2 linked regions of the Neodiprion lecontei genome follow. The protein of the gene in region 1 binds, or shares a complex with, the protein of each later gene. Links are inferred from orthologs where the notes say so. Each region holds a gene or a part of one and is shown in the gene's direction. Other genes may lie near its edges. The genes, in order: COP9 signalosome complex subunit 7b and COP9 signalosome complex subunit 8.

Region 1 (5,680 bases):
TGTAATTAGCATAATCGTGCATTTGTCAAAACATTCAAGACAAATTGTTTTTAGTATATGTTCTACCACCACATTCGATTACACAACGTATGCAAACCGCAAAGTTAATTTTAATGCACCATGTACTAGGGTTCACCGGTTTTACTGGGCAAAGATAAGATAATATAATTAAATAATTTTCAGCAAAAGCTTATAACTTTATGAAAGTGTATTGTTGAATGATTCAAACGCTGTATATTTTCAATTGAACGTTAACAGAACTGGACAAGTAATGTAATGCAGAAACAACTTTTAAAGATAACAACAGGATATCCTGTATAAATATTCACAGGTCATAAAATGGGTTGAATAGTACCTCAGAGCTTTTTTACAATACATCAGTTAGGTTTGATTCAAAACAGAGAGAACGTGTTTTATTACAAGGTTGAAGTTAGTAACGTTATTGTAACGAAACATTGGGGAAGAAATCAGTATTTTCTTAATTTTACAATGATTTTTCAGGAACTAAAAATTCGAAATACGAGCGTGTTTTGTTTTATTACCGTTTACTGAATTTCAGACAATTCCAAAACCATGAAATAATGGTTTTTTGTCAGCATGAATCGTTATGATAACATTACCAACTTCAATACGATGTTTTATTCTCAAATGCTTAATAAAGGATAAAAGGAAGTTTTAATTCGACAAAATGGACAATCGAATCCGCACTTGCGTACCTTTTCTAATTTTTGTTCTAGCTGCTCTACATTGCTTTCTTCTTCCTCGATGCGTGATCTGGAACAAATAACATAGCAACAACCTGACAATTTTTTCAAACATTCGTTTGGAGGGAGGGGAGGATAAAATTGTATCGACAACAGATTAGCCGTTTTCTACATAGGTGTAAAAGGTAGTGGGTTTGTTTGTTTTATTCATTCTCATTAACAATGGATGAGCGATTCTTCCACATTGAGTGTCGAAATAAATTTCAGAAGCGATAACACAGCGTAAATACGTCGCAGAGACAAAGGATATTTTGTCTAAGGTAACGCGTAGACAGAAACGAGCGAATGTACAAATATAAATTTAGTTTTCGACAAAGAGAGGTTAAGCCGAACATTTTTACGTGCGTGAATACGTAATGCTTTACCTACGGCATACGTATAGATATACATACGTATGTGTGAGAAGGATATTAAATATGTGACGTGCATAAATCCGTGGGTGAATTTCTAAACTGTTTACTATGATGATTATAATACGTTTCTTTCTCTTTCGTTTTCGTTTTGCGAATGAATTACAGGCGACGCATATGGCATATCTGTACACGAAAGTAAAATCTGTCAAGGTTGGGTGTCCACGATTCGCTGTAAAAAGTGATTGTTCTCACCGAAATTTTGGCGTATCCCGTAGGCATTCCTCAAACTCAATTAATTTCGGCATTTTGAAACAGACGAAGAGACACCTCCTGTCACATTCGGATTTATATCCGTGATGTTGATACGTTAATAATATTTCACGAATATGCTGTCACTCTCGCACAACATTTTCATTCAGCTATTTATTTATTTTTCACACAAGCTCGTGGGTAATTACTCGTGAAGAATAGAAAATGAGTGAAAAATAAAATCATGCAGCGTGATACTTGTCAGAGGGAAACCACAGTGCGGACAATCGGTCCCCAATCCCCACTTTTTCGTCAAATAAATAATGGAGTAGACTTGTGAGTCGGCCGCACTCGCTCGGGTCGAGGTACGGAGCACACGTGAAATCTGAATAACGTGAATCAGTCGCCAGAACGACGCGCGGAGAAAACCCGAACAGAGTATGTCGGGAACGGCAGAGGTATTTACACTATTTACGGCCAGGATTAAGAAATTTCCTGTCTTACCGATCGTTGGTAAGAACTCAACAGAAAAATCGCGATCGGTAATAATAACGGACTTGTGGATATTGGAAAAGTAAATAGTCATCGGAGTTTGCGAATTTTTTCATATGAACAAACGCCTAGGATCTCTGTTATTTCCGTTTTTGTTCGTAATTTACGCACATAGAAGCACTTACCATTTCTGTCGGTATGTTAGCTAGCCATGCCGGAACTACAGAATACATACTGACACGAGTTGTTTTCGCCCAGTGTTTTCGCCTTTATTGCCAGTTAACGGCTGTGGGCTTAGTGGTTGTGTTTCAAATGACAAATGAAAATCCGTCAAAGGGGTAAAGCAATACGTGCGCATAAAATCGTTTTTGTAGGCGAGAAACGAGTTGATAAGCGGTGATATTCCTGGGAATTGGCTAGCATAGAATTGCATAAGTGATATTGATTATTTCGTACGTTAATTTGTGTTCGTCGTTAGGCTTGGCGTTCTTCGGGCAGCCGAATTCGAGGTTAGCGTAGTTAGTCTGGTGAGATTGTGACCTCACTGACTCCTTACTTGAATCGAAATGATTTTTCACGATGCCGCAATCGACTTTCGCATTTACCCAATACCATTAATTGTCAGAAATCAATCGAAGATTCCTTTTTTTCAGATTAGCGATGACGGGTGCGAGTGTAACTGAAAAAACATCCACCAACAACCCCTTGGAGCAGTTTGTCCTTCTGGCTAAAACTGCTAAAGGCGCGGCAGCGGTGGAGCTGATAAAGCAGGCCGTTGAAGCACCTGGAGTAAATGTTTTCGGGGAGCTGCTGGATATGCCGAACATAAAAGAATTGGAGAACGGACCGTACGCCGAGTATTGGAACACATTGAACCTCTTCGCCTATGGCACGTACAAGCAGTACTTGGCGAACAAAGATAAACTGTTCCACCTCACACCCGTTCAGAAAAAGAAGCTCCAGCATTTGACGATAGTCACGCTAGCCACGAAATCAAAGTGCATACCTTACTCCGTTCTGCTAGAAGAGCTTGACTTGAAGAATGTCAGAGACCTGGAGGATCTGATAATCGAGGCTGTTTACGCCGATATTATCCATGGTAAATTGGACCAGAAGAATTCACAGCTAGAAGTTGACTATGCTGGATTAGGTCGGGATGTCAGACCCGGTGATACCGGCGCCGTTGCAGAAATCTTGACTGCCTGGGGTGAGGCCTGCGACACGGTACTGAACTGCATTGAGCAGCAGGTGCTTAGGGCCAACAGTGAAAAACAAAAGGCAACTCAACACCAAGAAAAACTTAAGCAGGAGGTAAGTCAATTGGCACAATCCCTTAAGCCAAACCTGCTCGTGTATTTGGAATTCCAGCACTAGCACGTTTATTCACTCATTTCACAAGTCCCGCCTTTCTCAGCTTTTAAGTCTGATCAAAAATCTTCCTCTTGCAGATCCAAGCCGTAAAAAAATCAATCACAGCTCATACAGTACGTGGGGTTGTCCAGGAGGCAGATGTCGCTGGTGGCGGGATCGAATCTGGATCGGGAGGAAGCGAAACGAGCCGAGAAGCCGTGCCTGTTCCACCAGATACTAAAAAGAAACAACAAAAACCAAAAGGTATTCGAGGCAGTGGTAAGTTCTGGAAGACTTAAAGTAAGTAACAAACGGATAAGTGCAGATCTCTTGAGGCCTACTTCTTATCCACGGATCGGTGATACTCTTGATATTTCTACGAAGAAAAAAATGTCATACGTGTAAGTTTCTAATGACTGAAATTAACGAATATTCGTATGCACAGGATGAAGTGATTTCAGGGTGGCCGCTTCTCTGGGAGAATCGAGAACTTTTATCAGGAAACTGTTTTCAAGTCTTGGGATTATGTCATGTTCACATATCGAAAATAAAAAAATACAAATAAGTTGGCTGTGATTTGTAACTATTGTCGTGTACTTTGTTTTGCTGTGGTCAGCAAACATAATTTAATTTGTCGTTTCTTGTTTTCATTGAAATCGTGACTTAACACCTCTGTTTTTTTTTTTTTTTTGGAAAGTTGATGCGTTGTGATCTCCTTGACAGTCAATAACTGAGACTTTTAAAACGATGCCTACACTTTGCGCAACACTGCGGAAAAGAGACAAAGTAATTTTTGAGAAAAAAAAACAATCAAGCGGCCACCCTGAGTGTCGTAAAATAATTGAATAAGTTCTGAAGTAGAATGACCGAGGGATCTGTGTTATTACGTTGTTTAAAGTGTGATGAAAATAATGAAATCAGGGATCTTTAAGAGTATAATAGAACGTAATTGTATTTTACAATGCCAATTATTACGTTGGCTCGGATTTTGCACGTCGATATTTAAGAGACGTAAGTTGTATATATTATTAAATATGTAAAATGAACTGCTGGTTCAGGATTTTCATTATTAAACCGTAGTCACTACTTCACAAGTTACAGAAAAAGCACGACTAATATAATATATATAAATATGGAATCACTATGAGCCATGTTATTATGTTTATACTAAAAAAAGCCGTTGTTAAACGAAGAAATGAAAGAGAAAGTTGAAAATACGGAAAAAGTTTTAACTTTAGTAAGGTTGTTTGCAGTCGTGAATTGGAATGAAATTTTTAAACGATTGATTTTATCTTCAATTTTTGGTATCGCTAGTTACCTAGATTTATAAAGTACATTCATTACTCTCACTTGTTTTACCCCGCGACGTTTTATAAAATTATAGAATATAAAAGTACGAGATTATTCTTCAACATCTTGTGGTTCAGTGATGTTATTAACGTTTCGTCGAACCATTTTTGTTTTTTTGTTTTTTAACTATCTATTAATATATTCGAATGGTGCTAATTAACGGATACATAAATATTTAATTCAAGATATTCAACGAGATAATTTTAATCAACTACGCGATGTATGTAAAACCTGGTGAAAAGTAAAAGTAGAAGTGAATATAAGCAAAACTGAGGGGAAGATGTTGCCAAAATTTGACATAAAATATGCTAATCAGTTTTACTTATTTCGGTTTCTATCCCGCGATGTTTTTCGAGATCGAATCATCAGCCATACATTAAGTATTGCAGAAGGAGATAAACAAAGTATTTAGTAAATAGGAAAACTTGAAAATACGTAATCATAGTAAAATAATATAATATGTATTATAAAAGTCACAGTGTTATGTCAGACAGATATTAAAATCCACTGATTTGTTTCGATTTTAGTTTTATAGACAAGAGCCAGTTACAAGAGGATGCTAATTCGGAAGGATATGTATTACAAAAAAAAAAAAAAAAAAAAATGAAAGAAACAGAAACAGTTCGATATCGATCAAAGAATTTCTATCTCGAGATGTAATCCTTCGCGATACATTTATCATTTGTATCATTAATACCAAATGCTGCATAAACATAATTATTAAATTACAACATTAGTTACTATTTCCATATACTGATATATATCATTTTGTTACTTACCGAATGAATGGATAATATTATATGATTTTCCATTTTATAAAAAAAAGAAAAACCATAAAATATGTACCTTTTAGTATACAACAAAACATATGTTCATATAAAAATAACACAGTGCATGCTGAAATCTTTGCAAAATGAATGATGTAAATCCAGTTGTGTTGTTTTGTCTTGCAATTGGTTAAAATTCAATTGTTCTTGTTTTCGCGGCGAGGGATTCATCCCTACAATAATGGACAAAAATAACGATAATAAAGAAATAATTGTAGTAATTCTATACCGCAATAATTCAGGGTATACAATATTATACCTATGTATATGTATGTATGCTTATACAATTTCTTTA
Region 2 (5,626 bases), on another chromosome or scaffold:
GCCTCTAAGATACGTGGACTTCGATATTTAGAGATATATACGTTAACGTCGAAATCATCTAGGGCACCCCCTTAAAATTGGGCTAGCTTCGTCTTTATTCCGTGTTCAGATATGACCTAATTTTTCTCAAATACTATACATACATAATACGGCAACTTATGGATACATATATACCTATGAGGAAGTCAAGTTTACTATTTTCGTTCATAACAGCTGGGCCTCTTACATGTTACAAGTGTTTAAACGTTTACATATGTCAATACATATGTTTCAAACTTTGTTATGAAGCCCATATATTTGAGCTAAGGAAAACAACTACAGCCTGCATGAGAAATGATTGTTGTTTCTGCTACAAGTTAGGATGAGAATATGCGGGGTATTATACTACATGTGGCATTTCCTCAGATCTAAATCTGTTTATTAATAGTAGTCATAACTTGTATATCTTCGATTTGAAGGGTCTTGTCACCAACTAATTAAAATCAACCTTATTAAAAGAAAAAAAATATATACATATATATATAAAAATTTATGTTCACGTTCACGTGAAAACAGAGGAAGAAATGTTTAGTTAAAATCAGAAAATAACAATATTTTTGTTGCAGTAGTTATACATAGAGATTTGAGTTGAATTATGTGGGAGGTGTGTAAGAGTAACGGTAACGAACCCTGTATTGTCAGTCAATAGTTTCTTGGATTAGCCACTGGAGTCGGGCGCTACAATCGGGCAGAAACGAAGCGAGCCAGGGGTAGCGCGCTGGGTTTCAGATTTTTCAGTCGAGTTCTAGACATGGTGACTACCAGAAGTGCTCGAGACGATTAAGTAGATATCGGTATCCAAGCAATAGCGACACGAGGGCGAGTCCATCATTTTGAAGTTGAATAAGAGTATGCGCAAATACATACATATTAGAGGCGCCTGGTTCTTCGAGGCGTGGACACTGAAGTGTTCATGTGACCGCGTAGGAATCCCGGCGAATGATTATGAGCACATTGCACGTATCCGATCAACTATTGTTCCGGATTGTTGTCATCATTGAAAGACAGCATAAGCGGGAGGAGTTTTTGCTTTGAGGCCGATGTATATGTGCGTGCTGGAGCCCCTGACGCCACGATTGATAAGTTAGTGGCGGCGGCGCGAACTTAAAAATGTCCATGCGACCGCGTAGGGCACAGTATGTATGTACATATAGACATACTGCATCACACGAAAGCATTAATTTAATCTGCATCTGTTCTTGAGACACTTTTAATGCCCAGATATTCTTTTGATATCAGAAGCAATTTTACGCCAAGAAATTTTCATGTATTCAATTTCAAGTCACTGTGATTGATAGTTCCAACAGTTCAGCCGAAAAACAATAGTTCTCCGTATCATATTTATCCCAAGTTGCAGTGCAAGGTGTCCTAGTTTTTCTTTTCTGAGTTCCTGGTATCTTGATTATAGTCAAAAAAAAACTTTCAAGAATTCTATTCTGTGCTGAAGGACCTATGACTCCCGAGTTTTGCAAAAACTCTGAAGCTTATTCCTGCAGATTTAAAAAAAAAAAGCAAATGAAGTACCAATTCTAAAACTCGCTGTCACGAATTTGTTTATATTCTGAGCCAGGCACACATCCATGTCATTCGTCGTTACTGCGTATGCGCAGAGAGACCAACTATTCGTTTACTTCTAAAGGCAGAGTCGCCAGCTCAGTGATTTTGTCACCAGATTTAATACCTTTCATGACTCTTTCGGTGACATTGTTTTTCACTTGTGGCAAGTACCTAATCTGGTGATTTGGAACCCATTGCGGTGATTTTCAGTGACATTACTTATATTTAAAATTTTTTTTTCGTATTAGTTGGTTCTGGTTGTCGTGAGTGCATTCGAGCGGCATTTGATCGTTTCAGGGATTATAGACTTTTCAACAGAATCCTGTGACACAACCAACGCGATCCTCGATATAAGATGCAGCTTAAAAATATCAGGGCAATGCTGTCAGGTATAGGAGTTTCCAAAAAAGGTAAGTTCGAAGAGTGAAACTTTACAAGCACATCAGAACAATACTGACAAAACAGATAATTCTCTACGTCCAAACAGTTTATATGATTAAAATATTATTTTATTCTGTAATAATGAATATAAATACATCTATATTCATAATTGTGGAAGTACAAATTAATAAGGTTAACAACATTTATAAAAGCGTTTTAATAAAGAAAAAGCACTATGAAAAAATCTGGTGACGTTTGTTCCTAGTGACATGCCCGGATTTTGAGTTGGCAATAGTGTCAGAGCTCGAGTGAGAAAGAGACACAGCTATACGAACACGAAGGACGGTATATTCAAGGAAGTTGCAAACTGTCAAATAAAAAATTGAACTGGACAACATCATCCTTGCGAAAACTTGTAACAGTCAAAAAGTTCACGGAGACGTAGTGGAGGCTCAATATGGTCTTGAAGGAGGTTGAGAAGTTACTTGATGAGCTCGAGAAGGCAGAACTTGAGGTTAGCCGGTGAAAATCTTCGAAACCTAAGTTAATCTTAACTACACATACAATTTAAAAAAAAATTCTTACAAGCGTTGAAAATTACACCTCAATTGCAACGAATTGCGAAATGAATTAAATACTACGATCTAACCTAGTACAATACATTTTTTATTTTTGTTTCTAAAATAAAACGCAATTCTTAACCTACAAACTTTCAAAATCTGAAAATAATAATTTTACATGAAAACGAATAGCGATCAAATTTTTACGAATTCTCTGCTATATCTGTAATCAAAAAGTTTGTCTTATTTCGTTTCAGGCACCTAATGGAGGCGCAACACCACAGACTTATACCCAGCTACTGGCGGTTTACCTATACCAAAATGACATGTAAGCCATACAGAGACGAGATAACGAAGGGAAAAAAATATAGTAGATGTACTTACTACACCTTGTATCTTCTGTTTATTAGATGCAATGCTAAATATTTGTGGAAACGGATACCGGCCAACGTCAAGGCAAACAGCAATGAACTTCAGCAGGTCTGGTTAGTCGGGCAGCGAATGTGGCAGCGAGACTGGCCTGCAGTACATGCAGCTCTGAGCACTGAATGGAGCGAAGACATAAACAGCATAATGAATGCTCTCAAAGGTTGTTTAATCTAATGATGAGAAAATTCAATATCAAAGCCCCCCCTTGCTAATACCCCCCTATGCTGGTCCAAAAATTTGGCAAAATCGATCAATTTTTTTTTTTGCATATTATAGCTACCTCTTTTAAGAATATTTTGACCAAAGCCCATATCGAACTTCCAAAAATTGAGAAAGTTATGAGCATTTGAGTGAAACAGTGTACGACCGCTCAGTGTGCGCCTCAATAGATTTATTGGCTTGAAGGCTAGAAAAATTTGCCTGTAAGGAAGCTGCGAATGTGACTAAAGGCTTCGTACATGCCTCACGAGTCGCCGATCAACGGTTAGAAAAATTCCCATTTCAGCTGATACAGAAGTAAGCGTCAAAACAGAGATCAAAACTTTAAACGCATTAACTTTAAATATGTTTATCTGAAAACTCCATATTTCAACCTTGTGGACATAAAATCTCGAGTTCTATCCAACCGGTTGACTTAAAATTTGGTATGAATCTTCAGTATACATTCTTCTATAGCCTATACCATAGGGATTGCGAAATTATTGTTATCACTATTTAAAAAAAGTGAAAAACATCGAAAAACACAAGGAACATAATTAATTCTGTTTTCAAACAGTCACCGTTTTGTAATATTTTTTCCTTTTCTTGGTTCCGGCTATAGTGACATTTTCACTCATCAAGAAATCTCGCTGTTTTTCCGTTCTAGATGAATGGGAGCACTGGAATCGTGTCATCCACCTCACCGTTTTTTTTATCACGGCCCTATTTAGAGGCCCATAACGTTTTTAAAAAAATTTAAGAACAAGTTCTTTAAACACTAATAATACCTCTGTGAAGAAATGGATGGTGAAAATATAAATTTTTTTTATATCAAGCCCAAAAAAACGCCTGAAATCCAGACCTCTAGACCAGAATAGCCTCTGATACATAAATAGATTCATGGTTTGAATACTAAATGTATGAATTTTGTATAAAGAAAGCAAGTAAAAATATCAGGGTGGTATTCTCATGAGTTAAAAGTATCAAAATAGATTCCAAAATATTTAGCTACCACTCCAGGCTCATACCTCAATTCTAAGTTCTGTTCATATCTTTTGCATTATTTCATTTAAATATCGGGATTCTTGGGACTTCACAATTAATTTTTTTTTGTTTTTTTTTCAACTTTATAAAGTGTCAGATTTTCCGACAACACACTTCAGTAAAAAAAATGTACCGCGAATCGTTAAAAACTCTGTTGTTCAAATGGAAAGATTGAAAGGATTTAGGACAGAACTGAGAATGGGATAATAGCCTAGAATTTCGGCTACTTCCTTTTAAATTGATTTTGATAGATTTTAATCTATAGGAAATGGGAAAACTCACTTGGAAATGTGAAACTTGAGGAAAAACAGTATTGAAATTATTTTGTTTTAGAAAATGTTCGAGAACGCGCGGTAATATTGATATCAGAGGCATATTCCTCGTTGACGCTGATCACGTTGGCCAGCATGACGGGACTGTCGGCGCCAGAAGCGCAAACTCTTGCTACCGAGAGGGAATGGAAAATCGAGGGTGACATGGTACAGCCGAAGAGAATAGATAAGGACTATCATCTTGGCCAAAACAGCCTCACTGAGGACCAGCTCCACAAGCTTACGCAGTTTGTTTCGTTCCTGGAAAATTAAAATATCTCCAAGTCCGTTTGCGATACATGAATCGCATTTAAAATACTTCTATATCGTAATTTAATGATCTCTTGTCATATAAAATGTATAATTATTCATGATATTATTATTACTGCTATTATTACTAGTGAAGAGAATCTACCTCATCATATTTCATACACCCGGTTTTTCTATTACTTTCTTCCTAATTTTTTTGTGAACAACAAGGCTCATGGTGGCTACTCTTGATGGAAGGCCTGGAAATCAGAGAAAGCTCAGGGAATCTTTTAATTGGTCAGAAAAAATGAACGGTGGTTCGACGGAACGGGAAAAAACTAAGCTTATTCTACAAAAAATCAAAATTCGGAAAAATCGCATGCTACAAATTTTGAATCAATATAGATCGTGTCAAGAAATAAAGTGCTTTTCGGATGAAAAATTTCGTACTATGCACGAGAGATATTTTTATAAATTACGTAGAGAACAAAATATTACTTCCGCGTATATTTCTTGGTTTAGCGTTACGCACTCATCCAGATATTATACATAGAATAGGCAAGATGCAGGGGTTTGCATAAGTAGAAAGGATGTCCTGGTCTCTATAAAAGATATTCTATCTACGCACTAAGTAAGTTTGCATATCAATCTAAATATTATACAAAATTTTTCTTCAAATAAATTAGAAAATGTTCTCTGTAAACGTTTAGGTAACAAAGTGATTAAAAAAAAATACTTCTGTGCTTAACCTCGCATGAATAATATAAATTATTCTCAGTCACCATTAAATAGATCGTGACGATATTGACGATATTATTGGCGCTATTACTCACCATTTTAGTCAGGGAAAGTCATGGA

What was found.
Region 2: COP9 signalosome complex subunit 7b (region 1) and COP9 signalosome complex subunit 8 share a complex: the UniProt entries of both Drosophila melanogaster proteins name them as parts of the CSN complex. The link is inferred for Neodiprion lecontei from reciprocal best matches to the Drosophila melanogaster genes CSN7 and CSN8.

Annotation. Positions count from the first base shown.
Region 1 is NC_060261.1:43,244,660-43,250,339, forward strand, and holds COP9 signalosome complex subunit 7b, read left to right. Parts: upstream 1-2,041; 5' UTR 2,042-2,056; coding exon 2,057-2,196; exon of another isoform or gene 2,197-2,385; intron 2,386-2,511; coding exon 2,512-3,169; intron 3,170-3,306; coding exon 3,307-3,507; 3' UTR 3,508-5,079; downstream 5,080-5,680. Other genes in the region: arf-GAP with coiled-coil, ANK repeat and PH domain-containing protein 2, read right to left, coding at 717-774, 1,370-1,422. UniProt on the Drosophila melanogaster protein: Component of the COP9 signalosome complex (CSN), a complex involved in various cellular and developmental processes.
Region 2 is NC_060264.1:22,050,419-22,056,044, reverse strand, and holds COP9 signalosome complex subunit 8, read left to right. Parts: upstream 1-1,848; 5' UTR 1,849-2,006; intron 2,007-2,242; 5' UTR 2,243-2,434; coding exon 2,435-2,491; intron 2,492-2,794; coding exon 2,795-2,865; intron 2,866-2,947; coding exon 2,948-3,126; intron 3,127-4,541; coding exon 4,542-4,792; 3' UTR 4,793-4,950; downstream 4,951-5,626. UniProt on the Drosophila melanogaster protein: Probable component of the COP9 signalosome complex (CSN), a complex involved in various cellular and developmental processes.